Alligator mississippiensis: one gene and its partners. The protein of the gene in region 1 interacts with the protein of each later gene in a pairwise test. Links are inferred from orthologs where the notes say so. Each region holds a gene or a part of one and is shown in the gene's direction. Other genes may lie near its edges.

The links.
Region 2: the proteins of NUDT18 (region 1) and RAB3IL1 interact in binary tests that used the Homo sapiens proteins (3 or more experiments, as listed by UniProt). The two-hybrid records come from large-scale screens. The link is inferred for Alligator mississippiensis from reciprocal best matches to the Homo sapiens genes NUDT18 and RAB3IL1.
Region 3: the proteins of NUDT18 (region 1) and DHPS interact in binary tests that used the Homo sapiens proteins (3 or more experiments, as listed by UniProt). The two-hybrid records come from large-scale screens. The link is inferred for Alligator mississippiensis from reciprocal best matches to the Homo sapiens genes NUDT18 and DHPS.

The regions. Positions count from the first base shown.
Region 1 is NC_081830.1:18,804,275-18,813,776, reverse strand, and holds NUDT18 (8-oxo-dGDP phosphatase NUDT18), read left to right. Parts: upstream 1-5,261; 5' UTR 5,262-5,479; coding exon 5,480-5,620; intron 5,621-6,072; coding exon 6,073-6,286; intron 6,287-6,618; coding exon 6,619-7,223; 3' UTR 7,224-7,231; intron 7,232-7,536; 3' UTR 7,537-7,900; downstream 7,901-9,502. Other genes in the region: actin filament-associated protein 1-like 2, read left to right, coding at 1,070-1,096. UniProt on the Homo sapiens protein: Mediates the hydrolysis of oxidized nucleoside diphosphate derivatives. Hydrolyzes 8-oxo-7,8-dihydroguanine (8-oxo-Gua)-containing deoxyribo- and ribonucleoside diphosphates to the monophosphates. Hydrolyzes 8-oxo-dGDP and 8-oxo-GDP with the same efficiencies.
Region 2 is NC_081825.1:179,118,102-179,127,784, reverse strand, and holds the start of RAB3IL1 (guanine nucleotide exchange factor for Rab-3A), read left to right. Parts: upstream 1-5,772; 5' UTR 5,773-6,030; coding exon 6,031-6,263; intron 6,264-8,623; exon of another isoform or gene 8,624-8,727; coding exon of another isoform or gene 8,728-8,738; intron 8,739-9,648; exon of another isoform or gene 9,649-9,676; coding exon of another isoform or gene 9,677-9,683. UniProt on the Homo sapiens protein: Guanine nucleotide exchange factor (GEF) which may activate RAB3A, a GTPase that regulates synaptic vesicle exocytosis. Promotes the exchange of GDP to GTP, converting inactive GDP-bound Rab proteins into their active GTP-bound form.
Region 3 is NC_081831.1:22,865,312-22,875,313, forward strand, and holds the start of DHPS (deoxyhypusine synthase), read left to right. Parts: upstream 1-6,270; 5' UTR 6,271-6,375; coding exon 6,376-6,555; intron 6,556-6,858; coding exon 6,859-7,053; intron 7,054-7,427; coding exon 7,428-7,598; intron 7,599-8,430; coding exon 8,431-8,552; intron 8,553-8,920; coding exon 8,921-9,017; intron 9,018-9,292; coding exon 9,293-9,379; intron 9,380-9,668; coding exon 9,669-9,774; intron 9,775-9,991; coding exon 9,992-10,002. UniProt on the Homo sapiens protein: Catalyzes the NAD-dependent oxidative cleavage of spermidine and the subsequent transfer of the butylamine moiety of spermidine to the epsilon-amino group of a critical lysine residue of the eIF-5A precursor protein to form the intermediate deoxyhypusine residue.

The DNA.
Region 1 (9,502 bases):
CACTCAGGGGGTCATGCTCCAGGTGGGAGAGGCTTGATGGATGCTGGCCATTGTCAGGGACTGTTTGAGCTAACTCCTAGACCCCTAACTGGAGCTGAGCATCCACCTACAGCCAGCCACTTACCTGACCAGTAGTGCCCTCCCTCTGCTGCCCAGGGTCTGCTGGCTTTGAACTTGTGTGCCTTCTCTTTTCCTAGTCCAGTGATCCTCTACCACGGTGCTGCAGCACCCTGTTACGCCCTCAGATCCTTTCAAGGGTGCCACTATACAGTGTTAGCACCACTGGACATGCAAACATGATTCACAAGCTAAACCCTGAGATTTCAAATAGTCAGCCTTAGTGTTAAAACCGTTTTGTCCTGCTGTGGTCTTTGTTGAGTTCCTTGCAGTGGAAGAATTGCTCTAGTATTTTGCTGCAGGGTGAAGGTGAGTGAAAAGTAAGAGCTAGTATTTTCTGAGTGTGGAAAGGTTGGGAGGCACTGTACTAGTCTTTTGGAGTGCAGTGGCAGAAGAGCTCACCCACTGAGAGCCATAACAAGATCTGTTAATTCAGGCCTTGCTCTGGACTCATGCCAAAGGCAAACAAATTGAGCATCTGATGTCTTTAAATACCTTCCCTGGGGGACACAAGCAGAATAACGCCTGAATTGCAACCATGCTGTTATGGTCCAGTGGAAGGGGGCAAAGGCACTTGTGGGCAGTTAAGTGTGTTTGAGCCCATTAACTGTGCATTTCCCATGTTTCCATTTCTTTTAAATGTAACTTGAACTTGGACTCTATGGGCTCTCGTTGCTTGCTTTGAGGAGAATTGCAAGTGCCACGTAGGGCTGCCTGCCCTCCCATCACAGCAACTGAAATTTAACTTAGTTTTTATCAGGAAACTCCATAAAGCATAGAAAAGGTTGCACTGGAATAACAGATGAGCTCATTGCCCAGCTGCTATCCATTCTTGGGCCATGGACAGCTGCTCCTCTTGCCAAAAACATACCCCATGGTGCAGTATGGAGCTGGGGATCTCCTTCCTGACCCCACCCATGGACAATAATCATGCTCTGTTTGCTTCTTTCAGGAATGGGAGATGAAGTCTGCCATGTAGCCGGCTCCTTTGGCTGCACGCGTACCCCTGCTCACAGGACACCTTGCTGTGTACATACATATCAGTCCAGGCATCTTTCTGCTGTTCCTGCTGCGTGTGGATCACGCTGGATGGATTTTATACCTGTTTTCATTACACACTGTGGTGATCGGTGTGAATGACGACGCCTTTCTATTTGGAAATCGTCTGTGGGTTTTTATCTCTGGTCTGCAGTGGCACTAAAACTGGGCAGGCCAGGGCTGTGCTGGGGAAGACACATAGGTCCTTCTGAACATCTTGGGCCTCAACTTTTCATGGCAGCAGATCCATCTGGGATCATGTCCCAGTGGGTGGCTCTCCTCCAGCTTGCATTTCTCTGAGCCTCCAGATGTGCTGCAGATGCTGGAGACACAGGCTTTTCCCTGCATTAAGGGGAACCTACTGTGGCTTAAGGTGGCACCAGCTGGAGCCTAAGGAGCTAGCCCTCTCTCATGCCTCCTTACACATGGGGGAAAAGCTTCAGCACTGGAGTCCAGAGACACTGTTAGACCCTAAGGGACATGGAGCTGCTCAGGAGAGGCTCTGAGCTGTTTGGCTCTGTGTTCTTGAGTCCTCTGAAGTCTCTTACAAGGTGTCCCTGCTTCTCATTCATCTCACAGGGCCTATCAAAGATAACAGACAGCCCAGCTTTTAGCCCAGTAGAGCTGTATCTAGGTGACATGATACAGATCTCAGCTGGCACCTTGCCCGCTGTGCAGCTGGGCAAGGTGAGCGGCCAAGTGGGGATGCTGGCTACGTCCCCAGAGGTCTAAAGGATGGGGGAGGTTCCTAGTACTTCCCCCAAGCACGCTGCCTGTGTTCAGTTGCTCTTGTGAGCCTGCGTTCTGGGGCTCAAAAGTGAGCAGAGGCTCTGCTTGGAGTAGATGCATTCATTTCTTTGGAGGAATCCAGCTCACGTCCCAGTGACACTCACTTTCCACCTTCTCCAGTTGCAAACTCAAGCCCTGGGAATCCGGTGATCTAACCCAGTTAACATGACAGCAGCCGCAGCTTCACAGCTTGAGCACGGGGCAGGCAAATGGGGACATGAAAGCTTTCAGTGCCGCCTCAAGGGAGTGACCCCCCTTCTCTGGGCCTCAAGCGCTTTCCTTGTGCTCCGGGCATTGACCTGCAAAAATCAGCTTGACAGGCGGGTTTGAACTGAATGCTCTCCCAGGCTTCAGCTCTCAGGTGCTGGGTGAATCACCAAGGGTTTCAGTGCCAGGTCTTAGCTCCTAGTCAGGAACTCAGGGTTTGCCTTCCCTTGCACTATTGAGCTTAGCAGGACTGTGTCAGCATTTGAACCTGGGATCCTTCAAAGCCTGGGCCTTTGCACCCTGTGTGCCGGGCTCCATAGCTGGGGTTGTAACAGGCCTGCAGGGAGGGAGACCTGGGTACAGAGTGAGAGCTGTGCTGTCCACCTGGGCCAAGCCAGTCATTGCAAGATCAGGATGTAAGCACCTGGCGGTCTCCAGGAGTGAAATCAATTCCACCAGCTCCTTGTGCGGTGCACTTCAGCCACCATGGGGGGAACGGGTGCTTGTTTCGAAGCACTGCTCCCGCTGGGTTGGTGTTTGAATGGGAGAAATGTGTTTTCCCATGAATGTAAAAAAACTTGCTTCTGCCTAGTTGCAGTTGGAGACAAAGGTGTCAGTGTCCCCAAGAAGGTCCTTTCTGTAACTTGTCACCCAGAGCAATTCAGGGGGGCAATGGGGGCGTGTTTATGTGTGTGTGTGTGTTTTTCAATTTCTACCAATTATGCTGTCAAATAAACATATTTTTGCTTTTTTTTTAACCCTGTCAATCTTGTGATGTGGAAGGGGAGGTTTCTAAGTCTCCTTCCTGCCTCCCCTGGGTAGGGGTACAGGAAGCCATGTGTGGGGGTGCCTGGGATGGGGGTGGTGCTGGTGCCACCAAGAATAGGAGTGTGGGTTGAGCCCCCACGTTCTCCCTGGAGCAGCATGACTGCTGTACATGGGGATGGCTGCAATGCCAGCTGTGTAGCTGAACCCCCCCCCCGATCAATAATGTGTTTGGTGGGGTAGGAGTGAAACTGTAACAGCAGGTAAGTTTTTAAAAATGCTCATGCTCCCTAGGCTGAGACCTTGGCTTAACTATAGGGGAATGCTAGATCTACGTCACCCAGAAATACCACTGCGTGCACTTCAGCCTTAAACACGTAAAGCCATCTGAAAGACGCAGGGGTGCCATCTCTACCACATCTCAGCTTCCAGTCTGCTGTAGGATTTCCAGGTACGCTGTGAAGAAGCATCCAAAATGCTTGGTGTGCTCTGCTGAGCCCAATAAGGGAAACCCTTGTAAGGAAGCCCTGGACTAACCATTAGCTAGCGACAGGAGGCAGCATCATGATAGTAGAACAACGCTGGCCTAGTCAAAGAGCAAAAAAATCAATGTTTCTCCCACTGGAGCCTAAAGTTCAGCTCAAATATCTGTGTTTAGGCATTTCAATAAAGTAGATAGGATTGAAGGATTGACAGAGGTGCTTCTAACACTAATTGGCACAGCGTGCTCCCCTTACACCCACACCGGATAACAGGGCAAAACGAACTCCAGACCCGATAGTGGCCTGTTGGTTCCCTTGTTATGAGCACGGTGAGGTGCATAAGCCCCATCAGTTCCTGGCACCTTTCAGCCCTGCCACCTCCCTGGTCACTCAGTTATGCTCCGTTTAGCTGCCGCGTGGCATTGCGTGGAGGCCCTGTACTCCGTGGCTGAGTGGGTGCAGGGGTCAGGGGTGCATTTCGTTCAGGCTTTCTACAGTCAGTGCAATCAAGCTACAGGAGAGGGCAGACCCTGCAGGGCAGGATGGCAAGGAGGTACGTGAAGGAAAGGCCAGTGTGGGCACCCTCCAGCTGCTGTCCGGTGCTGCGTGGATGCCAGCTTCCCATGGGGAAAAGCAATCAGGCTGATGAGGGCCCTGCAGAGGCTGGCACCAGGAGCCTCCATGCAGGCTGCTGTGAGCAGAGGGGTGGTGGGTCCCACTCACACCATGCTCCGGCTGCAGCGATGCCAGGACAGGCACCGGATGCCCCCACGAGAGAAGGAGACAGGCCGTGGGGGTTGCAGCTCCTGACCCCAAAGGGAGGAGCTATGAGTGTCCTGATAGGAGCCCTCAAGCCTTGCCTACACCTAGCACTGCCCCTGTACCCCTTCAGATGCACCTGGGCACCTGGCACTGCTCCTATTAACCCCTGGGATGCCCCCGAGCCACTGACACTGCCTCTATTAACCCTTAAGATGCTGCAGGACCGCTAGCATTGCTCCTATGACCCCTTGAAATGTCCCCAGTGCCCTATTAACCCTTGAGATGCCCCAGGGCTACTCTCACTGCCTCTATAAACCATTAAGATGCCCCAGGGACACTTGCACTGCCTCTATTAACCCTTAAGATGCCATAGGGCCACTGGTGCTGCCCCATAACCCCTTGACATATCCCCGGGATCCCTTGCACTGCCCCTATGACCCCTTGAGATGCCCCTAGGGTCCCTGGCATCTTAGAGACCCCAAATAGGGGCTATTCCACAGCCCCTATTAGCTCCTGAGGTGCCCCTGGGCCACTGGAATTGCCCCCATTAACCCTCAAGATGCTGCAGGACCACTGGCACTACCCCTATGACCTCTTGAGATGCCCCCGGGGCCCCTGGCACTGCCCCTATTAACCCCTGAGATGCCCCAGGACTACTGTCACTGACTCCATTAACCCTTAAGATGCCCCAGGGCCACTTGCTCTGCCCCTAGGACCCCCCACCCCGAGTGCTGCCAAGGGCACTGGGGGCATCTCAAGGGGTCATAAGGGCAGTGCTAGTGGTCCTGCAGCATCTTAAGGGTTAATAGAGGCAGTGCCAGTGGCTCTGGGGCATCCCAGGGGTTAAGTGCCTCTTAACCACTAGCACTGTCCCACGTTTCCTCCTCCTGCCCCCCCGCAGCAGATGCCTCAGGATCTGCCCCTATGAACCCCTGAGATGCCTCAGGACCACTGCCACCACTAGCCCCTGTTGAGAGGATCCCCACGCTCAGGTGCGGGGTCGCGGCCCCTTTAAGAAACATCTGCAGTCGCTGAGGGCTGAATGAAAATGGGGATGGCCAATGGGAGGCGAGCGTGGCATCCCAGCCAGCCAATGGGAGTAGGGCGCGGAGGTCTCTTCCGTGAGTCTGCTCCAGCTGGGGTGAGTGTGCGTGGGGGGCAGGACAGGGATCAGGACCAAGGGCAGGGGCTCCCCAAGCTCCCCCTTCCCCAGCCCTGCTGCACCTGCCCAGCTCCAGCCCCTGCCTGCCTGGCTTGCTGTGACCCAGGTCCCTGTCCAGCTGCCGTGCCCCCCCTTGACCCCCCAGACCGAGGCTGTCATGGAGGAGCTGGACGCGGTGCTGGCAGGGAGAGGATGGGCCGTGCAGGAGAGGTACGACTCTGCGCCAGAGCCCGCTCAGCCCGTGCGGCTGCGGAGGAACGCCTGCTACATCGTGCTGGCGCTCCTGTTCAATGACCAGGTGAGGCGGGCTCTGCGTTTGGGAAGGGGCAGAGGGTGCGTGTGCTGTGGGTGCCCCGCGTCCTGGCAGGGGGAGCCTGTGCAGAACAGAAAGCACGCAGCTCCCTCCTGCCCTCCGAGCATGGGCTGCTGCAAATCCACCCCCCGGACCTGCTGTGCCGCCTTTTTGTTGACGTCTGAAAAAAAGCGAGACTGAAGATGAGAGACTTTGCAGTCTGGGGAGCGGCCTCAGGCTGCGCGGCCCGCTGCAGATGCCTCCAGAAGAGCAGGGGGGGTCGGCTTACTCAAGGAAACCTCTCATAGCTCCCCATTCAGCAAGCTGATCCCTCGAATCTGGGCTAGAGATGGAGACAGTGAGGGGAAGGGCCTGACTTGGCCCCTTTCCAAATTTGTACTGGTCCCAGAATGCCAGTGACTCCTTGACCATGACTTGTGATTCTTCCTCCCTCCCAGAACGAGGTGCTGATGATGCAGGAAGCCAAGGCCGAGTGCCATGGGATGTGGTACCTGCCTGCTGGGAGGATGGAGCCCAACGAGACCATTGTGGAGGCCATGAGGAGGGAGGTGAAAGAGGAGACGGGGCTGGAGTGCGATCCCCTCACCCTTCTGGCAGTGGAGGAGAGGGGCCCTGCCTGGATCCGCTTTGTCTTCCTTGCTGAGCCGACAGGTGAGTCCCCTTGCCCTGCAGCCAGCGGGACGGGAGGGTTACAGTACTGTGCCAGCTGGAGGTGGTCAAGAAGCTGAGAGCAGCCTTGTGGGCAGCTGGCATAGCAGTGCCCACAAGGCTGGAAGAGCCAGGGGAAGCATGGAAGAAGGAGCAATATTGGTTTCAGAGCTGAACCAGACCTGAGGGCTTCTGGGCAAGGGAGGGCTCCGTCTTGGCTTTGGCCTTGGCCCTGGCATACGTAGCAGGGAGGATAGGGCAAGCCTTCAGCTATGCTAAAAATACAGGGCCCCGAGCGCAGCACCGTCAGAGCCTGTTCTTATCCCTTCATCCAGGTGGGAGCCTGAAGACGCTGCAGGAAGCTGACGCTGAGTCTCTACAAGCCCGGTGGTGGGATCGCGAGTCTCCCACCCTGCCCTTGCGTGCGCCGGACATCCTACCCCTTCTGGACCTGGCTGCACGGTACCGAACCCGCCCATCCCATCCACCCACCTTGCCAGCAGAAATGCCCTGCACCCAGATCTGCCAGCGGCTCCTGGCAGCCTTCACCAACAGCACCGGGGACTTGTGGGTGCTGATGAGCACAGCAGGGGCCCTGCACCTGCCGGTGATGGCCTGCAGCACAACCCCAACAGAAATGCGCCGGGGCCTGCGGGCGTCAGCAGCCCGGCTGCTCTGCGAGTGCGTATTGCTGGGCCCAGTGACTGTGACAGCCCAGGGGGTCCTGGGCCTGCAGCACCTGGGCAAGGAGGCAGGGAAGGCTGATGGCGTCTGCTTCAACGTGCTGCTGACGGTGGGGCACAGTGACCAGAGCACCCAGGATACTCCACCGGAGCTGCGTGACCAGAGCTTCCAGTGGTGGCGGGTGAAGGAGGGACCTCTCAGGAGCAAGATTTTGCAGCGCCTCAGCTCTGTGGCTGTTGTTGCTCTCTGCAGCTGATGACAAGGGTGAGCTGTGCTTGGGAAAGCCTCCCAGCATGAACCTCCGATCCTCCGGTTGTTGCTGCTGGGGAGCCTGGGATCCAGGCCCATGCATCAAATTGGGGGCAGAGCTGGGATAGAGCGCAGGGGCTCCTGCTGCTCTGGCAGGAGGGTGAACCCTGTTGGGAGGCCAGGGGTGACTGGTGCCAGTAGAAAGCCCAGCAGGAGCCTGGACTAAGGGCCGTGTGATGGCCCCATCCATGAGGTGGGGGCTGACCCTACCCCGCTGGGCTGAGCTGGTGTTTGAACGCTGCCTTTCCTTTCTCCCCCAGGTTTGGCTGAAGCTCAGAGCCCGCAGCATGCAGTGAGCCCCGCACGGCTCACCTGGAAAGAAAGACATCTGGGCCACCGCAGCAGGGAGGACCCGTGGCTTTCCCGTGGGGCACGTCCTCACCAGTCACAGCCCGCAAAACCTTCCCTGCCCCGTGCCAGAAGGAGTGGGTGCTTCTCGTGTCTGGCCTAGAGGGAGCAGGGGCTGCCATCTGCCTGTGCCACCCTCGAGGGGCTGAACCTGAAGCGATCATGCCGGAGGACTGTGTGCTTCTCTAGACCTGGCTCTGGGGTTTCAAGAGCTGCCCCAAGCATCTGTGTCTTGGCTAGAGTGTGGGAATAAAAAGGAGCACTTGGGAAAGTTTAGAGGTTAGTCTTACTGCTGGCTGGCTTGGGGAAACCCTCCCCCAGCAAATGGTTTCCAGCTGGCTGGTTTCAGGGAGACCACACTCTTCCCCACCCCAAGGCTTGGGGCTGGCTGGCATGGGAGCCCAACACCCCTGCAAGCTTGTGGCCAGCTGTCTTGGACAGATTATGGTCCAGGTGCTGGTATTGGAGGGGCTTTCTGGCACAAAATTGCATTGTGCAGGGCCCGTACTTGCCATCAGCTCTAGCAGGCTTCACCAACAGAGCTGGGGACTTTTAGGAGCTCGTGAGCACTGGTGGGGAATTCACCAGGAGGGTTTCAGCCCATCCCAATCCCAAGGTTTGTGGCTAGCTGGCTGGCTGGGGGAGGGGAGGCAGATAGCCAGCTAGCTAACTTAAGGGGAGAAAGAGTCCCCTGGCTGGATGGCTGGCCTGCGGGGCAAACTGACCCCCTCCCATGTCCCGTCTTGTTGCTGCCTGGATGGCTGGTTTGGTGCAGAATTATGGTCGAGGTGGTATCAGAGGTTTTCTGGCATCTAATTGCATTGGACTAGCTGTCTGGGCTCTCGCTCACTGTTCAGGGGTTCCTGAGCTGGCTGGCTGGGGAACTATTGGGCTCCCAGGTTGATGGACAAGCTTGGGAGGTTTTGTGTAGCATTATTTCCTTGCTGGCTGAATGGGGCCTCAGGCAGCTGTCTAAGCTGGTGTTTGAGGTGGGGGAAGAAGGAGCCCATGAGCAAGGATGGTTGTGTTGCCCTTTGCTGGCTTGGGGGCTGCCTCTGGGTCTGGGATGTCTCCTTTGGGTTCAAGCAGAAGGTGGTCAAGGTGTATTAAAGAGGTTTGGACTTTCTTATATGTTTTTTCTCAACCCTGTCAATTGTGGGACCATATACCTGGTTGACTGGGGCAGGAGCATGGGGCTGTTGGACTAGCTTTTCCCTTTGGCTTTGAGAGAGGCTGATGTAGCTCTACCTGCTCGCTAGCTGCTATGATGATTTTTGTGTGCCTCTAATTCATGGCGGTAGTTACTCGGAGAAGGAGGAGAGAGCAGCCAGCTTGTGGGGCTACTACAAGCCAAGGGAAGGGCAAGTGAAGTCCCTTTCATATATGTAACCTGGTGTCTGCAAGGCAAAGGGTCTGATGACCTATGGGGAGTTATGGCAAGCCCTGGCAATGTAGTTTCAGAAACAGGTCAAGAAGCTGCGTGGGAGGGTTTAGATAGGAATGATCCTGCCTCAGGCAAGGAGCTGGATTTAATGGCCTCCAGGTGTCTGATTCGGCCACATGTTCTTATGCCGATCACGCTCCCTCGGCTCTGCCTTCCTCAACAAGCAGGGAGTTGAAGGCTGCTACCTGAAGCCAGGCAGCAACACAAGGTAGCTGTATGGGAGGTCAAGCACTAGTCTTTTGAGAGGAGCTTCCCCCTTCCTCAGCCCTGAATGAGTCCGAGACTGTACTGGAATTGACTGGCCTGCCCTCCCTTCATGTCCTGACTTCATATCCACATAGTTCAGCCTAAATTGCCACGCATGAATGAAAGAAGGAGATTCCCTACCTGCTATCTAGGGGAATGAGCTTGGTTCGCATGCTTGGTGTATCTGG
Region 2 (9,683 bases), on another chromosome or scaffold:
GTGGTGCAAGCACCTACTCTGGACACTTTCAAGAAACATTTGGACATTTACTTGTTAGGATCCTTTGAGCCCAGCTGAATTCCTACCCCTTGGGCAGGGGGCTGGAACCGATGATGTTACAAGTTCACTTCCAGCCCTAATGTCTATGAAATCTATGAAATCACAAGAAGGCTGGACAGCCCTTGCCAACACCATAATGCAGGGCACAGTGGAGGGAAAAATAAAAAGAGGTAGACCTGAGAAAAGCTGGGGAACCAGTATTAAAGACAGGACAGGGCTTCAACTAATGAAGTGCACAAAGCTTGCCAAACACAGGGCAGAGAGGAGGAGAGTTGTTACAACATCTAAGGTGCTCCAATGGTCGCAACAGCCTTGGGACTGACCTGACCTGACCTGACATTGTGTTCAAGCTGGGTTTACTATTGGGATCAGAGCTAACAAGGACCATTTTAAAAAAGGATACAGATGCTGGATTGGGCTTTATGAAAACTCCCAGACTGCTCCCTGTTCGTGAGCTTCATGGAAAGCCCTGAGCTCAAGTCACTTTCAGTGGAGTCTCTCAGAGAGGGGCTGGGCAACAGGACCTGGTTTATGATTCCCCCACCAACTCTCACAGCACTTATGAGTTCTGTGTTATAATCTTTTGCCGCATTTGTTTTCCCAGTCTAGGAAGTGGGGGGAGCTATCTGCTTTAGCAGAGAAGACAGAGGTCTGATTTTTCCCCTGATCTTCTTTTCCCTTGCTTTAGCTGTCATCTGAACTTTTTCCTGGCAGTTCCCATGGCTCCACTCTCATCCATTCCCCCTAGAAATGTTGTCTTGAGTTTCAGGTTTGCACAAAGGTAAAACGGGAAGGACTGAACTTGTGATTGAGATGGGAGATGGGGACTCAGGGGTCCTGAGTTCAGTTCATGTCTCCATCTTAGACTCCTTGTGCAACCCAAGGCAAGTGAGTTTTTTTTATTCCCAATCTGTAAAAAGGGCCTAATAATCCCCTTTACAGGGTGTTTAAGGCCAAGAGAAGCCATTAGTTCAGTAGGCTGCACCATTTCCCAAACTACTAGATTGATTGGCTCTGAATGTCCTGACCTCCATTGTACTACAGGCCATTCTGCTCACTCACGTCCCTCTGTATGGAGACCAGCAGCTTGTGTCATACTTCCAGCATAAGCAGAACCTTTGTTCTCTCTCTCAGGGCTTGTCTGGATCCAGGAAAATGTCTGGAATGCTAAATTGTCATCTACTTGCTAAATATAGTCATCTACACTGATTCTGTATGTGGACACTGGAAGCATAAAGAGCAGGGTTTGCACCCTGGGCAAACCCTGCCAGGGGGAGAGGCAGAGGAAAAGGGGGAGAAGGTGCTGTTGAATGCTGCAGGGGTTCCAGGGGTGGGAATATTAGCTATGCTGAGGACTTAAAAACAGTCCTCAGCTGCTGTTTCCACAGTGTGGTCTGCCTTTTCCCAATGTCATTCTTATAGCAGCAGTGCAGTGTTGGTGCACCTGGCTGTTGCTTCAAGCAGCAAGCCTTGGGGCTACTTCTCCTGTCAGGCACAGACCCCACAGGGTGGGGGATGATTCTGGTGCCCCCACTAAGTTGGCACCCAGGGCTGGTGCCCCATTCACTCTCACCAAGTTACGCTACTGGTGGACACTCATTCCATGCTGAGAGTGTCCTTGTGCAGGTTAGCTCCGTCCACTTGGGAACAAGAGAACTCATGTGGCATAGCTGCCTGGCTCAAAATTCACACCTAGCAATAACTTCCCTACGTGGACAAGCTCTCCTTCTCTTTGTGTGCTTCTTTCCAAGTCCCATACTTTCTGTTTATCACTCTTGTTTCCTCAGCTGTTTTCCTTCGGGTGCTAAGACCCATGTGAAAAGACAGTGACTGGAACAGCATTCTTTACAGATCACTGAGAATGCAGGGTCAGATCCTTCTTCTATAACAGGGGTCAGCAACCCCCAGCACGTGTGCTGAGCATGGCACACAAGGCCATTTTGCTCGGCACACCACCGCCAGCCTGGGCTCTAAGCAGCTGCTGCCAGCCATGGAGCCCAGGCTGCTCCCAGCAGGAGGCTGCAAGGCTGCAAGCCCTGCTGCAAGCAGACCGGGCTCTGTGGGCTGGCTGCAGCCAGGAGGCTGCAAACAGCTGCTCCGGGCTCCGGCATGTTGGTACTCCGGCACCTTCCAAGGTAGACATTGTGGGGTTTTTGGCACTCCAGCCAAAAAACATTGCCTGCTCCTGTTCTATAACATGCCATCATCTTAGCCTTAAGACTAAACCACAAAAAAGAGCAGGAGGAGGACCGACCAACCTCCTGCATTCATTATTTTTCATGGATTGAAGTGGGGTGAAATAGGATCACACTTGGACACCTAAGTCCTCTTAGATGCCTAAGAGGTAGAAAAGGATCTGGCCCTTAGGCACCTAAGTCCATGTAGGCATAGTAAGTTGAACAGGCTCTGTCTCATAGTCATCAGAGAGGAAAGGGTTACAGCAACAAAAGCTTAGGCCTGTGTTATCTCACCTACAGCTTAGCATTTCCCTCAAGATTAGGTAGCTCCCAGTTATCTTAGCTGCCCTCATGCTTCTGGGAACCATAATACAACCTCTTCCTCTGCACACCCTCCTCCAACTCTCCCAGCCTCAAAGAAGTGGGTTTTAATAGCTGCCATTTTCACTAAGGGCACCCTGTTCTGAGTGCCCCCACCCTCAACCTTAGGTTTACAAGCTGGCTTTCCAACCAGTGCCTGATGGGGATAAGCCTACAAAGGAACTGACACCTTCGTTGCTCAGTATCAGTGATTGGGGCTAACTCTACCCATTGTCTGTATTTCTGCAAACCAGCCAGGACTGAATTAACTCTCTGTACCCAGTCTGCAAAGAAACAGAGGCCCATATTGTCTGGCTAAAACAATAACACACTGGCATCTCCCACCTTCTGCTTGGCTAAGGCATCTCCTCCAGAAAGGCATCAAGGCAAACTTACCGCTTCCTTTCCTTCGTTGTCTTTCTTTCCTATTCAAACTGTGAGCTCTGGGGCCAGGACTGTCTCTGATGATATATTTGTACAGTGTCTAGCCCAGTTTCCCTCACTGGGATTTCTAGCTGCTGCTGCAGAAAAGCTTCAGGCCCACTGGACAAACCCAGGGTAAAAGATATTCTTCTAGACATGGGGCATTATGATACACTGGATGCGTCTACACGAGCCGCCCACTGCGCAGTTGTTACTGTGCAGTCATTTAGTACTGGCATAACCAAGTATTCAATGATTATGCAGCAACTGGCATTTCTGCACAGTAGTGTCGTGTCACGGTTTATGTCCGGCGATGGTACTGTGCAGTAGAAACAAGCTACTGCACAGTAAGCATCTCATATAAACGTGCCCACTGAGACCAAAGCTATTCTGACTCTGCAAATGCTAGAGCAGCACTGAGAAGAGCATCCCACCCGTGTGAGCCTACCCAGTCCAGGCCAAAGCCTGGAAGTTAGACTGTGTACCCAGTCAGAAGGGTCGCGAGTACCTGGGGAATCTTAATATGTGCAGAGCAGTGCTGCATAGGCCATGTCTGAATTCTTTTCTTGGTGGTCCTCCTGGCCTCACTACAGAGGAAATGCAGACAGGCATTAAGTGATCTGCCTGAGGTCATACAGGAGCCTGTGGCAGAGCTGGAGAACCAAATCTTAATCCTTTACAATGCAAATCTGTGCCTTGATCAGAAATACTACCTTCCTCTTCTCCTGCTGTGTTTGTATCTGAAGTTGAAGGCCAAACAAGTGTTTTAGGGGAGCTTGGGAGCAGGAGAACCACAGGCTTGGGCACTGAGATAGGTTCAGACAGAGGTTACAGAGAAGGAATGTGGGAGACAGTGCAGCTCCTCCATTGCTAAAAGCAGAGGGGAGCTCTTCCTTTTTTTTAGACCAGCCCCTGCTGCTCCCCCTCTTCTTTTAGTCTGCTTCAGTCTTTGTGTTCACACTGTCCCCTGCAAAATAACAGCAGGGCTCCAAGCAGGAGAACTCAGTTCCCTCCCCTGGAGCTGCTGTGCAGTTGCTGAGCTGGCAGAAAGCACTGGCTCACTGGTAGGTCTCTTTTCAGTGCCAGGGCCCAGGCAGTTTCAGGCCAACATCTGCATTATTCGTGTGGCACTTGTGTCCCAACTACGCCGCCTCCTGTTCTTCCTGCAGCTCCACTGGGATTGAGCTTTTGCTGTTGGACAGTCTCTGTGCCTCATACCAGATCTGCTCTTTCATCTGGATACACTGAAGGGGGCTGCAGCTGTTTTTTTTATTGTTCTGGCAAAAGCGGCTTCCTTATGACTGCCTCCACTCCAGCCTCCCATTTCTGCTGAAATCTGAGATCCCAGATCCAGAGATCCCAAAGGAATTCCCACTAAAAATGTTCCAGCCAGTTGTGCAAACATTCCACACAGCTGGCTGAGGCAGGGAGGGAGGGGGAGTGAGTGGGCGGCAGGAGCCTGGATTTCCAACTTCTTGTTTTCATTCTCTTATTTTCATGGCAGTAACATCCTGTCTGGGTTGGCTGATTCTGGGGTGGAGACCAGCTCCTAGCCTAGGTCCCTCAGCTTAAGGATCCCTTCCCTGGGGTTTCTGCTTCTTGTCTAGGTCCTGCCAAGCCTGAGGTGGAAGGATGAGGCTGAGCCAGGAATAGTAGGATCCATTCTGAAAAGTCAGAGCTGGGCTGGATGATGGTGCCCTGGAGCTGCATGGTCTGGCTAGTGCTGGGCAGTACATCCTGGCTCAGACAGCTGCTGTTGCTACCAAGGGCAGAATTGCACCTTGTTTACAACAAATGCTGGATTCTGGGTCACTCTGCAATTATGCGGTGCCTGGGGGCAGGGGAGTATGTGCATATGCATCAGTAGGGTGCATGGGAAGGGGAAGAGAGAGAGAGGTAGAGCCTGAGAGTCAGCGTGGATATTATTGTCTTAAGGTCTGCAATCCAGGATGCAAGGAACTGAACTAAAAAGAAAACTGAGGTCTCTTCTTTTTGTCTGAGGTTCCTCTAGTTGCCTGGTGTATATATATCAGCAGAATGCCATAGGTGACCCCCCAGCCTGTCCTGTGGGGAAGTCAGTCCACACTGCTCAGGCCCCAGGTGCACCCTGTTGTCAGAGAAGGAAGAGCTGTACCTGGAGCTTAGGTATGAGTCTGGTGATGCTGCCCACAAGAGAAGGATTGTGGCCTGTTCCTATGTCCTGCTTGACCTTTGCTAGTATGGTAGAAGGGATTGGAGGGGAGGAGAGGGAACGAGGTGTCAGTGCAAGGAGCAGGAAAGTGGACGTGGGAGTTTTAGTAAGAAAACGATTGGACACAGCAGGCCTGGGCAAAGCTGCCGAGAAAAAGACAAATAAGGAGCCATACTGTCAGCAGAGGCTTGCTTCTAACTGCTTCAGATGGGCTACAGTATGAGACTACTCAAAGGCAGTGGCTGAGGGACGAAGACCAGGATTCAAAGCCTAGGAGTGTTCATATGAGACCTGGCAATTTTTGCCCTTCACTGCCGGTTCCTAACTGTTCCTTCAACTTCACACTTGGAGGCGGGGCACAAAGGCAACTAGCTCCAGCATCTGTCTCTAAGAGCAGAATATCTGGAGAGGTCAATTTTTTCACCCTCCCTGCCCTGTCTGTTTTAGTTGCTTCCTCCCCCTCAGCCTTCTCTTTCTTCTTGCACTTGGTGTGTTCTTGGAAGAGTTCTCCCTTCCAGTCCTGAGATTCCTCAGTGGTTACGAGACCAGCCTTGGGAGTTAATAATTACATGGAGCAATGAGTTAATGTGTTGCTTTGCGAAGCTAAGGATACTTTCCCCGACTCCCTGATGCTTCTTGGAGGTAGCAAAGGTTAGGGCCACGGTGTCGCAAAAGAGGAGACAGGCAGGACTTTGGGCCTCAGGGCAAAAGGGAGGCCTCCACTTTCCATGCCCCTCCTGTTGACCTGTTATTTGTTCCCAGAGGCCTGCATGGATCCTGAAGGTGTAGTGGAACGACTGACCCACACCTGTGGATGACATGGACTCCTGTGAGTGGCTCTACTGTAAGATACCCTCAGTCACCGCATTACGTCACCAGCTGTGCTTCGCCATGGATGCAGGGACCACTGTGTACAATCTATCTGCTTTTGATTACCCATCTGGAGCTAAAGCAAGGGAAGGGACAGCAGAGACCTGGAATGCCGGTGTTCTCATGTGTGAATGTCCTGTCGAGGCATCACAGGATGGAGAGGGGCCCTCGGCTGTAGGAAGGTAGGAAGAAGTTGGTTAAGACCTAAGATGTAAGGGTTTTGAACTGCATCAGGGAAGGGCATGGTGCTTTGGTTTGGTCTGAGGTGGAGCTGAGGGGTGAAAAAGGGTAAGGGGCTGATGGTCAGCATTCATTGCAGGGGCTGGGGCAGTGCGTGAGGAAGGGAAAGGTCATGCACTGATAGTCTAGCTTCTCAAAATCTTAATCCTAGTACCTCCTTTTTCAGTGATCCTGACACAGGTAGCTGGCACTGTAACTCAGCTGCTTTGTCTCTGTTTTTTGTACTTTACTGCATCTTTAAATTCCAGATTTTCCCATTCAGAGGATGAAGTCCTTTTCAGTGGTGGGAGGGATGTGCTGGAGTCAGGGAAATGGGGGTGGGCAATGGGGAAAGAAGTTGCAGTTGTTGGTGCCAATTTAAATCCCAGCCATACATTATGACCCCCAGCTGGGCTGCTTGGCGTTCTGCTTGTCCAAAACTGCTTCTCCTGTTCCAACAGCAGAATAAAGGGCATATCAGCTCCTGCGGATCTCAGCTATAGGGGCAAGTCTTTTTGTTAAGTCCAGCAGTGCAAACCCCAAGCCTTCAGACATTATGAATCAGGACCTCTCAAATCAGGGGACTGGCTTAAAATCATGAAACTCTTTTTTAAAGATAAAAATAAACTTCCTTTCCTTTCCATTCTGTTCCATTTTGCCTTCTTGTCTCCTTGTCTCTAAGCTCTTGGTGTGCTTTAACTTCACCTTCTTAAGCTTTTCTTTGCAATCATGGGGGTTAGAAACTTGAATCTTATCTATTTTTTTTTTTTTTTAATTGAAGTCCCCTGCAGTCACTTGATTCCAACCACTGGAGCTTTTTGAGAAACAGCCACTCTCACAACTCTTGCATTAGGCTGATAGAATTGACCACCGTGCCTGCCTTCCCCTGAGAAATCGATGTGCTGGCCTCTAGCTCCACACGTCTGTTTCCATATGCCTATTTGCAGGGGTTTGGAAGACGGTCTTGTGACTCAGCATTGGGCTAAGATTCAGGAGAGCTGAGATAAATTCCTGGCTCTGCCACAGTCTCTGTGTGTGACCTTGAGTACATCACAAAATCTTTGTGCCTCAGTTCCCCATCTCTAAAATGAGGGTGCTTGCAAGCTTTCCTTTTTCAGCAGGAGATGTTGCTTACTCTGTGTGCGGGCTTAACAAAACAGGTCCTGATCTCAGTGGTGTTTCACCAGAGGGCATCTGAATTGCACTAACAACAACCGCAACATACAGGCAGGATCCCCATAGTACCAAGGCACTGAGTACTTGTAATAAAACTAACATAAATCAAACAGGGTCTCCCCCACAAAGGTTAAATACAACATGGGCTCCCAAGTGGTGGGAGTTGACACCTAGAATATGGACCCTAGCCAAGCTGGCCATGTACTTGACCAGAAAGGAGGGTCTGGCCGGCATGAATGCCTCATGCCTGCCGAGGCTGGGGGGACGTGGCGCGGCCCTGGGGGTGGGAGTGCGGTGGCAGGGAGCGGGGAGTTCCCACAGGCACTGATGTTGGCGGCTAGGGTGGGCTGAGTGGGGGCCACCCACAGGCCACTGCAGCAGTGTTGGTGCAGGGGAGGAGTGGCGAGCACTGACTGGCAGTTGGCAACCACCTGCAGATGCCACTGGCAGTATCACCGGCAAGGGGAGGGTGGCAAGCGGTGACCACTGGCAGGCATCACTGGCACCATTGGCGGCATCCGGTGTCAGGGGGTGCACTGCCAGTCTCAGAGGCACCCCCTACATGTCACCACTGCTGGCCGGGTGGGTCTGCAGGGCCACTTTCCTCTCCTTGCTCCATTCCCGTGTCGAAGCTGGGCAGCGTCTGCTGGCTCCTTGGCACTGCCCGCGGCCTGCTGCGCGCCGTGTCCCTGCTTGGCACGCTTCTTTTGAACCTCTGAGGCACTCCTCCCCTCCCTGTGTGTTTTTATCATTCTTTGTCCCACGGATTCTGCTGTCCCCTTTGCCTGTGGCCTCCCCGCCTAAGGGAGGCCAGTGAGCGACTTCCTGGGCTGGGTCCCCGCTTCCTTGTCAAGGTGGAGGAATCATTGGGGAACTTGGGGCGCCTAAGGCTTCCCCTGCCCTCGCGGGGGTGGGAGCCCCCTGACATCCTCAGGCGGGGGTCTTTACAGTGCTGCCAGGCCCTTGGGAGCCTGCCACCTCTCCCCCTGCTGCATGCGCACGCGGGCCCCGACTGGGAGCCCTCTGCTGGGACGGGGAAGGCCACCCCAGCCGGGGCACCCCGAGGAGCCGGCGGAGGCCGGGAGGGAGGAGCGGGGCATTGCATCCTGCAAGCGGAGCCTCCCCGAGGGCACGTGACCCGTTCCCCATCTCCCGGGCGGAGCCGGCGCCGGAGCGGGCCGGGCTGCAGCCCCGCGCTGCAGAGCCCCGCCGCCGCCGTCGCCGCTGCGCTTCAGGGGCTGCTGAGCCAGCATGTGGCGAGGGTAGGTCTGCAAGGCGTCCCCCTGCTGCGGGCGGAAACTTTCCTTTGCCCTCCCTGCCCCTGCCCTCGGCGGCTGCGGGAGGGCACTGAGGTGGGCCCCGCTCCACCGCACCCCGCGCAAACCCTTCCTCGCCCCTCACCCCCCGAGCATCATGCCCCTGGGGACAGCAGCTGGCAGAGCCGGGGCGCGAGGTCCTCTGCATTTCCCCGCTGTTCCCTGTGCCCGGCTCGCCTCGGCTTCCCAGAGAAGTTGCAGAGTCTCCCAACGGTGCCCTCTTCACTGGGATGGTTTAGGCAGGGGTGGTCCTGCCTTGAGCAGGGACTTGATGACCTTGTGAGGTGCCTTTCAACCTCACTTTCCTATGACCCCCTTCTCTTTTTCCCCTTTACTCTCTCCCCCCTCCAAGGCTGGAAGGGACCAGAGTTCAGGCAAGCAGTAGCCGGCGCTTTGCTGTGGCCCTGAGGAGAAAGCCAAGGGGCTCCTGGCAGATCCTACGGGATTCCCACCCTGGGAGGTCTGTCTGGTACCGGTCCTGGGGACTTGGCTCGCTCTAGTGTTGGCCTTGAGTGTCCATGCGCAGGCAGGACGTACTCCACGCCTGTGCTCCCCAATGGCTGGGGACAGCAGACCTGCTGGTGCTTTGGATGGGGGAGAGGCTGGTTGTGTTTTTCCATCAGGATGGGCTGCCTTTCGGGAAGAAAGGTGTCTTAACGCCTTCAGCTTCTTGTCCTTGGCTTTGAGCCCAGGGCCATGCTTTCTGCCTTATCTCCTCTAGCCCCTGTGTGTATGTAAAGAGATGGATGAGTGGTGGCAGAAACCTTTGTCTGGGGAAGGTGTCTGTTTTCCCCTGGCATTTGAGCTGTCCGGGACTAAAGCAGAGGTCTGGTCCGAGCAGCTGAGGAGGGAACAGGGAGTGACCTGCGGTTGGTTTCTGCAGTATGCACA
Region 3 (10,002 bases), on another chromosome or scaffold:
TCACAGGAAAACCCAGAAATTAGGGATCCCGGAGACAGCCTCAGAGGCGGGGTCCATTAGAGAAAGATCAGTGTGCCTATTGCAAACAAAAGGGACACTGGAAGCGGGAATGCCCGAATCGGAAAGTAGGTGAAGGTGAAAAGAAAAGAGAGGAGAGCAGTGGACTACTGTTTGCTTTTGGAGGGGATTCAGATTGAAGGGGACCGGAGGCTTGGGAGAGAAAAAGATAACCCAGATCCCGGTGTCCCCTGACGAGCCTCTGGTTAAAATGCAACTAGGGGACAGAGAAGAATTGGTAGAATTTCTTGTCGATACAGGTGCTACTCATTCCGTCTTAACTCAAAAACTGAAACCTTTAAGTAAAAAGACTGTGCCGGTGGTAGGGGTCACAGGGAAGGCAGTAACACGGCCCTTCCTACAGCCAGTGGCCTGCAATCTTGGGCAGGCCGAAGTCACCCATCAATTCTTGTATATGCCAGACTGCCCCGTTCCCCTTTTAGGGAGAGACCTCCTCTGTAAACTGCAAGCTATGTTGTCATTTCAGGATGGGCAAATGTTCCTAACGGTGCCTCCTGAAAAGGGGTGGCACCTGCAGGCCTGCCTTCTCGGCCTTCTCCGAGAGGAAAGTACACTGGATATTCCTCAACCCCTGCTCGATGCTGTTGTTCCATGGGTATGGGCAGGTCACCGACCCGGGAAGGCTAAAAATGCTGACCCTGTAAAGATTCAACTTTTGCCAGGGGACCAGCCTCCGTGCGTGAAACAATATCCAATGTGGATGGAAGCCAGGAAAGGACTGAAGCCATTAGTTGAACGGTTCCTGGAGTATGGCCTTCTCCGTGAATGCACATCAGCTTTTAACACACCCATCTTGCCCGTGAAGAAGCCTAAGAGTGACGAATATCGTTTTGTTCAAGACCTGAGAGCTGTAAATAAAGTGGTCGTGAGTATACACCCGGTTGTCCCCAACCCATACACCCTGCTGTCTGCCTTGAACCCAGCTCATAACTGGTTCACGGTTATTGATTTAAAAGATGCTTTCTTCTGTATGCCGGTAGAGAGGCAATCTCAGGAAATATTTGCATTTGAATGGGAAGACCCAGATACTAGCATTAAGACTCAGTTTTGCTGGACTGTCTTACCCCAAGGGTTTAAAAACAGCCCAACCCTATTCGGCACTGCATTAAGCAAGGATTTACGTAGGCTAAAACTGCCACTGTCCTGTGCCCTTCTGCAATATGTGGATGACTTGCTTTTAACAGCCACCACTGAAGCAAGCTGCCTGGAGGGAACAATCTGCCTCCTTAATTTTCTGGGACAAGAAGGATACCGGGTGTCCAAAAGTAAGATGCAACCAATGTCCCAGAAGGTAACATATTTGGGATTTGAACTACACCCTGGTCAGAGAGCCCTGTTGCCTGAAAGAAAAGAAGCTATATGCCGGCTAGCAACCCCAAAAACAAAGAAGCAACTACGGGGCTTCTTAGGTACAGTAAGTTTTTGCAGGATTTGGATTCCAAATTTTGGGGTTATTGCAAAACCTCTGTATGGAGCTACACAAGGTGATGAAAAGGTGTTCGAATGGACTGAAGAGTGTGAGCAAGCATTCTGCCAGTTAAAGCAGGCTCTTATTGAAGCACCTGCCTTAGAACTACCCGACATGAGTAAGCCTTTTTCCCTTTTGGTGCATGACCAAAGGGGGTGGCCGTTGGAGTATTAACACAAAAATTAGGTAGCTGGCAGCGACCGGTGGCATATTTTTCTAAGCAATTAGACCTTATGTCATCCGGATGGCCTGCTTGTCTCCGGGCCATTGCTGCCACCTGTCTGCTAATACAAGAAGCTGAAAAGTTAACCCTAGGCCATGAAATGACTGTATATGTGCCTCACGCAGTGCTTACAGTCCTGGAGCAGAAAGGAGGGAACTAGTTAACTCCGGGACGAATGGCTCGATATCAGGCCATCCTCCTCAATAAGCCTGAAATAAAATTGGCCATTTCTCGCACTGTAAATCCAGCAACACTGTTGCCACCTATGGCTGACACACCGGATCTTGTACATGATTGCCTGCAAACATTGGAAGCTGTTTACTCCTCAAGACCAAACCTGAGAGACCGACCCCTTGACAATGCTGAACTGGAATTCTACATGGATGGCAGCTCGAGTATGGAGAATGGAATTCGAAAATCCGGATACGCTATCGTGACTACACAGAATGTGATAGAAGCAGGACCTTTAAACCCATCTGTTTCAGCTCAAAAGGCTGAACTCACTGCTATGACTCAGGCTTTGCAATTGGCAGCCAACAAAACTGTCAATATTTATACTGATTCTAAATATGTTTTCCTTGTTTTACATGCTTACGGAGCGCTGTGGAAAGAGCAGGGTCTACTTGATGCTAAAGGAGCAAGCATTAAGCATAGCAAGCAAATAAAAGCTCTCCTCAAGGCAGTCTGAGAACCGAAGGAGGTAGCAGTAATGCATTGTAAGGCACATCAGAAAGGGAACGACCCTTCCACAAAAGGTAATCAATTTCCTGACGCTATGGCAAAGAGAGCAGCTAAAAGACCTCAGACAGACTTGCTGCCCGAAGTAAGTAATCTGTTACCTCTCTTCCCAGACCTATACCAGCCTGTGACACCACAGTATGGGGAAAAAGACAAACAATTAATAAAAGAGTTTCAAGCAAAGAAGGGGGAGCACAGGTGGCTAGTAGCAAAGGATGGCCACATTATCATCCCAGCTGCCTGGGTTCATGTGGTAGTAAAGAGCGCTCATCATGACACCCACTACGGACCCAGGGCCCTGGTAAGATGGATCAGTCACTATGTAACTGGAGTAGGATTAAAAGAGGCTGCCAAGAAGGTATCAGAGACATGTGAGGTCTGCCAGAGAAATAACCCAAAAGGAGGGAAAAAAGAAACTCCAGGACATCAGAGAATAGGCAATGGGCCAGGAGAAGAATGGCAGGTGGATTTTACCGAGTTGCCCCGGCAACAAGGGATGAGATATCTCCTTGTCTTTGTGGACACTTTCTCTAATTGGGTTGAGTGCTTCCCATGTCGGACTGCCTAAGCCTGAGAGGTGGTCAAGGCGCTCCTACGAGAAATCATACCTCGCTTCAGACTTCCAAAAGGAATAGGGTCAGACAATGGCCCACATTTCATTGCACAAGTTACTCAGAAGGTTTCTGAGTTCCTGAGAATCAGCTGGCATTTACACACCCCTTGGAGACCCCAGTCCAGTGGAAAGGTGGAACGTATGAATCAGACCTTAAAAAGACACCTTGCAAAGATTTGCCAAGAAGCTCGACTCAAATGGCCAGAGGCCCTACCCTTGGCCCTGTTATGAGTAAGGGTCGCACCACATTCTAAATTGGGATTAAGTCCGTTTGAGATAATGTATGGTAAGCCTTACCCTCTGAGTCTGCCCATGGGTACTGAACAACAGTTACATGTTTTAGGAGAGGGAATGATTAGAGAATATGTATGGTCCTTGGTTTCTGTTTTGTCTTCCATCCACCAGCAGGTACGGGACGTGCTGCAGTCACAGGATTAATCTCCTGCCCCGGAAAACCGACTATTACCTGGGAGTTACGCCCTTGTGAAAGACTGGAATGAGGAACCACTTCGAGCCAGATGGAAGGGCCCATATAGGGTACTCTTGACGACCCCGACGGCAGCAAAGCTCGAGGGAATCAAGACTTGGATACATTCCAGTCGCCTAAAGCTGGTGGCTGGACCAGAACAAGAAGGAACCCCTGCAGACTCCGGGACTGGAGGCAGAGAACCGTGGAAGGTGGAGCCAATAAGAGACTTAAAATTCCTATTCAGAAGAAAGGAACTTTAAATAATTTGTCATTTTTTGATCAAGTTTTACAGCCCTTATCATGAAATTGGTCAAGGTTTTATTGTGGGGCGTCCTGATCTGTCCACTCCTTCTCATAAGAGGGGAAAACCTTTTACAACAAAAATTTGACCCTCAGGAAAATGTCTGGATTTATCTGGCCCGGGAAATTTTAAATAGAACAGACTTCTGCTTAGCAGGAGGGATCAATGCTCACCTGGTTTTTACCTCATGTTTAATCGCAGTACCAACCCCTTTGAAAATTTTACAAAATTATACTATGCTGAAAGATATAAATAAGGAAAGTACGTATCAGAATATATATAATTGGGGGACTATTGTAAAAGATAAAAGCAGAAACATGTTTTCCTTACGGGTTCAGGCAACAGCTAATGCTTCCGAATGTTTCCTAATGGTTAATTGTACTGGTAACTCCCTTAAATTGAACCAAGGTAAAAATGTCCTCTGTAATGAGACTGTGCGGGCCGGGAGCGATCCGGGCCCTTTTGTGCACGCGGGCTGTGGCCAGCAGCTTGGGCACACGGGGTCGGAGAAAGCCGGAGGCGAGCTAGAATTAGTCACGGACGCGTAATGGTTGATTCAAAGATTGTTTACTTACACCAAAGGTGGTCGTGGTGTAGGCTGGACAGTTTTCCAGGTACAGCTCCGCTTAAATCCTCGTTAGAGGACTACGACAAATTCGTTCTTTCCCACGGAGTTGTTGAAGCTCCGCGGGTTCGGTAGTTTCTCGTGCAGGAAGGGATACGTCTAGGAATCTATTGGCGATGGGGAGAGGCCAGAGGCTGTTCAGTCCTCTGTTGCCTTTTAAGAAATGCGTTGAGTCCGTAAGGATCCGCAGCGCTTAGAGATCTTCACGCAAGGCGAAGGTTTCTCTCTCACTCTAATTTCTCTCCAACTTGGGCGGAAACCACCCAAGCTCTTTATACGGCTAGCAAGCCAATCGCTAGCCGCCACGTGTGCATATTTTAGAACTGGCCAATAATGTGGCTCGAATTTTCATACAAATGGCGGGAACTCCTTGCACCGAGCATTTCTTAGATGCAAAAAGAAATGCACCATGCAAAGAAAGCTTCAAATTGGCGGGAAATTCTCCGTTGCACCGGGGTTCTCTTCTGCAGCAGAAAACTCCACCGTGCAAAGAAGCTGCAATTTAGCGGGAAAATAATTTAGCAGTGCCGAAGCGCACACAAACAAAAAATCACAACTTTGGGTTGTGACAGAGACCAGTCAAATATCCAATACTTACCTGTTTTTATATCTATCTTCAGGCCTAAGGTAAATCAAATGATTTTACAAACAAAGAAAGCTGATGATACTAGATTTGTGTTAAACCAAATTGAATGGAGCAATTATAATAATAATTAAAAATGCTCCAAAGGGGGGAAATGTAAGGAGGGACCTAGAAACCTCTACTCAGAGATGATAAGAAGAAGAGAATGCTATGTGAAAAATGCCCATCTGCAATGATAAGGAGGAGACAGTCTCGGATAAAGGGGACTTGAAAGCAAAAGAAGAAACAGTTCTGGGTTAAAGGGCTCATTAAAATACTAAAAATCACACCCCTAGGTGGGGAAAAAGTATGCTAATGAAACACACATGTATGTAAATGAGATACATGGCTAAAACACAGGTATAGAGACATGCTCAGTAAAGAACTTCTTGCGTCACTCACTTATAACCAATCTTCGTTTGATGATTGGTTATAAGTTATAAGCACACTTGCGAAGGCTTGAAAACTCCTGTATAAAAGATGCTTAGAAATAGTGATCTGGTGTGCTTGTTACGTGAATTATTCCGCTTGCACCTTTTATTGCTCGCAATAAACCTTCTTTGTACTTTCACCCCTGGTATCTTTATTGGCCTTTGCATACCGGGCATGATCCCAGACTTGAGCTGGGGCTCAACATCTCCACTCGCTTTGGCTCTCAGCTTTAGGCACAGGATCGTGGTGCTCTCTTGGGCGAGCTGCTGCGTCTGCTCAGAAACCCAGGCATCTGCTATAGCCCCTGGCGTCCCGCCCCGCTTAGGTGTTTGATGCTTTTGAAGCCTGCTGCGCCCTGCAACAGGCATGAGATCATGTTGGCACATGCAAATTTGGGGTGGTGGGGAGCGATTCAGGCTTGTTCTATTAAGCTGCACCCACCGGCGGGCGGGTGGAGCAGAGGGGCAAACCATGGTTTGGCATTTGGATGCTGCTTCCCAGACGCCTCCGCTTTCACTGGGGAGGGAACCCAAGCGCCCTGTCTCCCCTCACTGCAGCCGCTGAGCCGCAGTGAAGTTGGCACACGGCTTGGGAAAGCAGACGAGATAACGTTTGAGCCTTCAAGGATTCCGTACTCGCCTTGGGCTCGAAAATGGCGGCGCCCAAGAGTGTACGGCCGCAGGCAGGGCAAGATGGTGGCGCCTCGGCGTATGGCGCCTGGGTGTACGGACGCTCTTCCCTGCGCAGCCCTGCAGGACCCTGTGCGAATGCCGTAGCCGGCTCGGGGAAGATGATGGTACTTACGCATGCTGCACTGCGGAAGGATGGAAAGCCAAAATGGCGTTATCCAGCCGTACGGACACTCCGCACGGCAGCGCACGCGTGACCCCTGCGGGGCTGGTACGGAGCAAAATGGCGGCGCCCAGCTATCCGGCAGTGCCACCTGTACGGGACTGAACCGAGATACGGGCCACGGGTCCGCCGAGGTACTCTGCACTGCCTCTCGGGGGCTGGGGTTGTAGGAGCGCTGGGGGGGGCATGTGAGTGTGGGGGGAGCGCTGGGGGCGAGTAGTTGAGTCTGCAGGGAGCGCTGGGGGTTGGGGCGAGTAGTTGAGTGCTGGGGGGTAATGCAGGGGGCTGGGAGAGGGGGTAGTTGGGGGGGCTGGGGGAAAGGGGGTGCCTGGGGCAGTAGTGCAGGGTGAGGGAGGCTTGAGAGGCTGAGGGTGCTTGAAGGACAGTTCAGGGGCAGTTTGGGGGCTGTGCACCCCTGATCTGTCTCCTTTCCCCAGGCCATGGAGGGGCTGCCAGCAGTGGCACTGACGGCGGTGCTGAAGCCCAGTGAGGCGCTGCCCCCTGAGAGCTTACCTGTGCGTGGCTACGATTTTGACCATGGCCTTGACCACCACGCCCTGCTCCGCTCCTTCCTCACCACAGGCTTCCAAGCCACCAGCTTTGGGCAAGCTGTGCGTGAGATCCACCGCATGGTGAGGGGGCCCCGGATGCCTGGGTTATGGTCCTCAGGTTGGGAAGGCAGAGAGGCCAGGTGAGGGTGGGGGGAAGGGTAGCAATTAGGACCAGCCCCCGGGGCTGGGAGGACAGAGAGGTTGGGGGGTTAGAGACGGCGGTGGAGGGGAGCCAGGAAGCCTGGGTTCTCTTCCAGCTCTGGGAGGGGAGCAGGGGATGCTGGGGGCCAGGATATTGGGTTCTCTTCTCTGCCACTGCTGGTGGCAGGTTACTGGGGGTGCCTCAGTTTCCCTACAGCCAGCTCCTTCTTGGGGCAGGGATGAAGGCAGTTGGGGTAATAGGTTAAGTCCTGTCCCCCAAAAGCCAAGCTGACCGGGGTCTCTTGCGTGTCCAGATCGATGCCAAGCTGGAGCCACTGGGGGAGGTAGCAGACGAGGAGAACCATGCAGACCTGAACCCCTGTCAGCGCCCACCCACGGGCTGCACCATCTTCCTGGGTTACACATCTAACCTCATCAGCTCTGGGATCCGTGAAACCATACGCTACCTGGTGCAGCACAACATGGTATGGCTCTGCATGCCCCTCACCCCAAACAATACAGTCTACCCCCCTTTTTCCACAATATGTGGTACAGCCCAGCGTTCCATTCTCTAAGGCACACTATGTGGTTCCGGCCCAATACCCTTCTTCAGTATAACGTGGCATAGTCTTTCCCAGGGGTCAGTAACCCCGGGCACGTGTGCCAAACATGGCATACAAGGCCATTTTGCTTGGCACACCACTGCCAGCCCAGGCTCTAAGCAGCTGTTGCCAGGCACAGAGCCCAGGCTGCTCCCAGCAGGTGGCTGAGAGGCTGCAAGCCCTGCTGCAAGCAGACTGGGCTCTGTGGGCCGGCTGCAGCTGGAAGGCTGCAACCAGCTGCTCTGGGTTCTGGCATGTCAGCACTCCAGTACCTTCCAAGGTAGATATTGTGTTTTTTTCAGCACTCTGGCCAAAAAACGTTGTCTATCCCTGGTCTATCTGCTCCCCTCCCACAACATGGTGTGGTCCAGCTCTATCCGTTCTTTAGCCTAACGTGGTATAGTCTAGCTCCCCCCACATGACATGACTCAATTCCCTCCTCCCCTGCAGCAGTTCAAGCCATGGCCCAGCCCCCCCATAGAGACAATATGGTATGGCCCAGTTCACTCCCTCCCACCTGCAGTACAGTGTGGTATAGTCCAGTTCCCCTCCCCCAAATTTGATCCCCACCCCCCCAGCTTTGGGAATAACCCCAAAGACTTTAGAGAGGGGTCTCCCCCTATCCCAGCATAGGTGGAGGGGGCAGTGGCAGGGATCCCAGGGATCCTAGGGCTGGGGGCACCAGGGCCTGGGTTGATGGTGTGGGTGGGTGCAGGTGGACGTGCTGGTGACAACGGCAGGGGGCGTGGAGGAGGACCTCATCAAGTGCCTGGCGCCCACCTACATCGGGGACTTCAGCCTGCGTGGGAAAGAGCTTCGACAGAGCGGGATCAACAGGTGGGGGGGGCCTCTGGTAGACGGATGTTCTCCCTACTTCTGGAGAGGGGTGGGGTTTGGGGGGGATGAAGTAGATGTAACCTGGACACCTGGGTCCTCTGGGAGGGGAAGGGGATGGGTCTGGTGGGAGCCCAGATGCCTGGGTTCTCTCCCCAGCTCTGAGGGATGGTGGGATTTAAGGGGCTTAGAGCAGAAGGAACCCAGACACTTGGGTTCTCTTCCTAGGTCAAGGTTGGGGAAGGGATCTGGCGGGTCAGAGCAGGAGGGGAGCGGATGCTCGGGGTCTCTAGCAAGGGAGGGAGGCAGGGAGCTGGGACATGTAGGTTCTCTGGCTGGACAGGGACTGAGCTGTGGCCATGTCCCTGCAGGATTGGGAACCTGCTGGTACCCAATGACAACTACTGCAAGTTTGAGGACTGGCTCATGCCCATCCTGGATCAGATGGTGGCTGAACAAGACACTGAGGTGTGAGGGCAGGGCAAGGACAGCTGGGTTCTCTCTGGGTGAGGAGGGGGACACTGGTAGTAGGAGCAGGATGCCTGGGTGTGGCTTGGGGAGGGGAGTTGTGTGGGCTAGAGCTGGAGGGGGTTGGAAGCCTGGACACCTGGGTTCTCTCAGTGGGTTTTCCTGTCTGAGGACTCCTGGGAACTTTCCCCTCCCCACCAAGTGTCTGAGCCCTGGGGCAGCTGAGCTGGGGGGGCAGCCCCCCTGGTGACAGTGGGTGTGGCCGTCTCCCACAGAGCGTCAAGTGGACGCCATCCAAGATGATCGCGCGGCTCGGCAAGGAGATCAACAACCCTGAGTCGGTCTATTACTGGGCCCAGAAGGTATGGAGGGGCGGCTGGGCTGGTAGGGAGAGCAGGGCAAAGTAGGGGAACATCCCCCACCCTGACAAGCAGCACAGCCCAGCCCTGCCCTGCCCAGCTTTTGGGGGAGATAAGAGCCCAGGGTTAGAGGTTGACCTCTAACTCCCAGGCAGGGTTTGGGTTCAGCCTGGCTGCCAGGACTCCTGGATGTCCTTCCTGGCTTTTCCGTGGAATTGCTCCTTGAGCTGACACTGCGGGGCAAGGGGGTTTCCCCCCTCCAGCCCTGATGCCACCCCTCCCTCACCCCCAGAACAACATCCCGGTGCTGAGCCCGGCACTGACAGATGGCTCACTGGGAGACATGATCTTCTTCCACTCCTACAAGAAGCCAGGGCTGGTGCTGGACATCGTGGAAGGTGAGGCCAGGCCCCACAGGGCTGGGGGGGTAGGGGTGATCCTGCCCCCTATGGCTGCCTCCCCTCCAGCCCCCTGGGATATGGCAACCTTTCCTGGCAGCATCTTGCCTGCTGCAGGGAGCTTGGATGCCTGGGTTCTTCCAGCTCTGGGAGGGGAGTAGGGCTGCCTGGGTTCCCCACGCTGCCTGTCTCCTCTCCTCTCTCTCTCCCCGGACAGACCTACGGCTC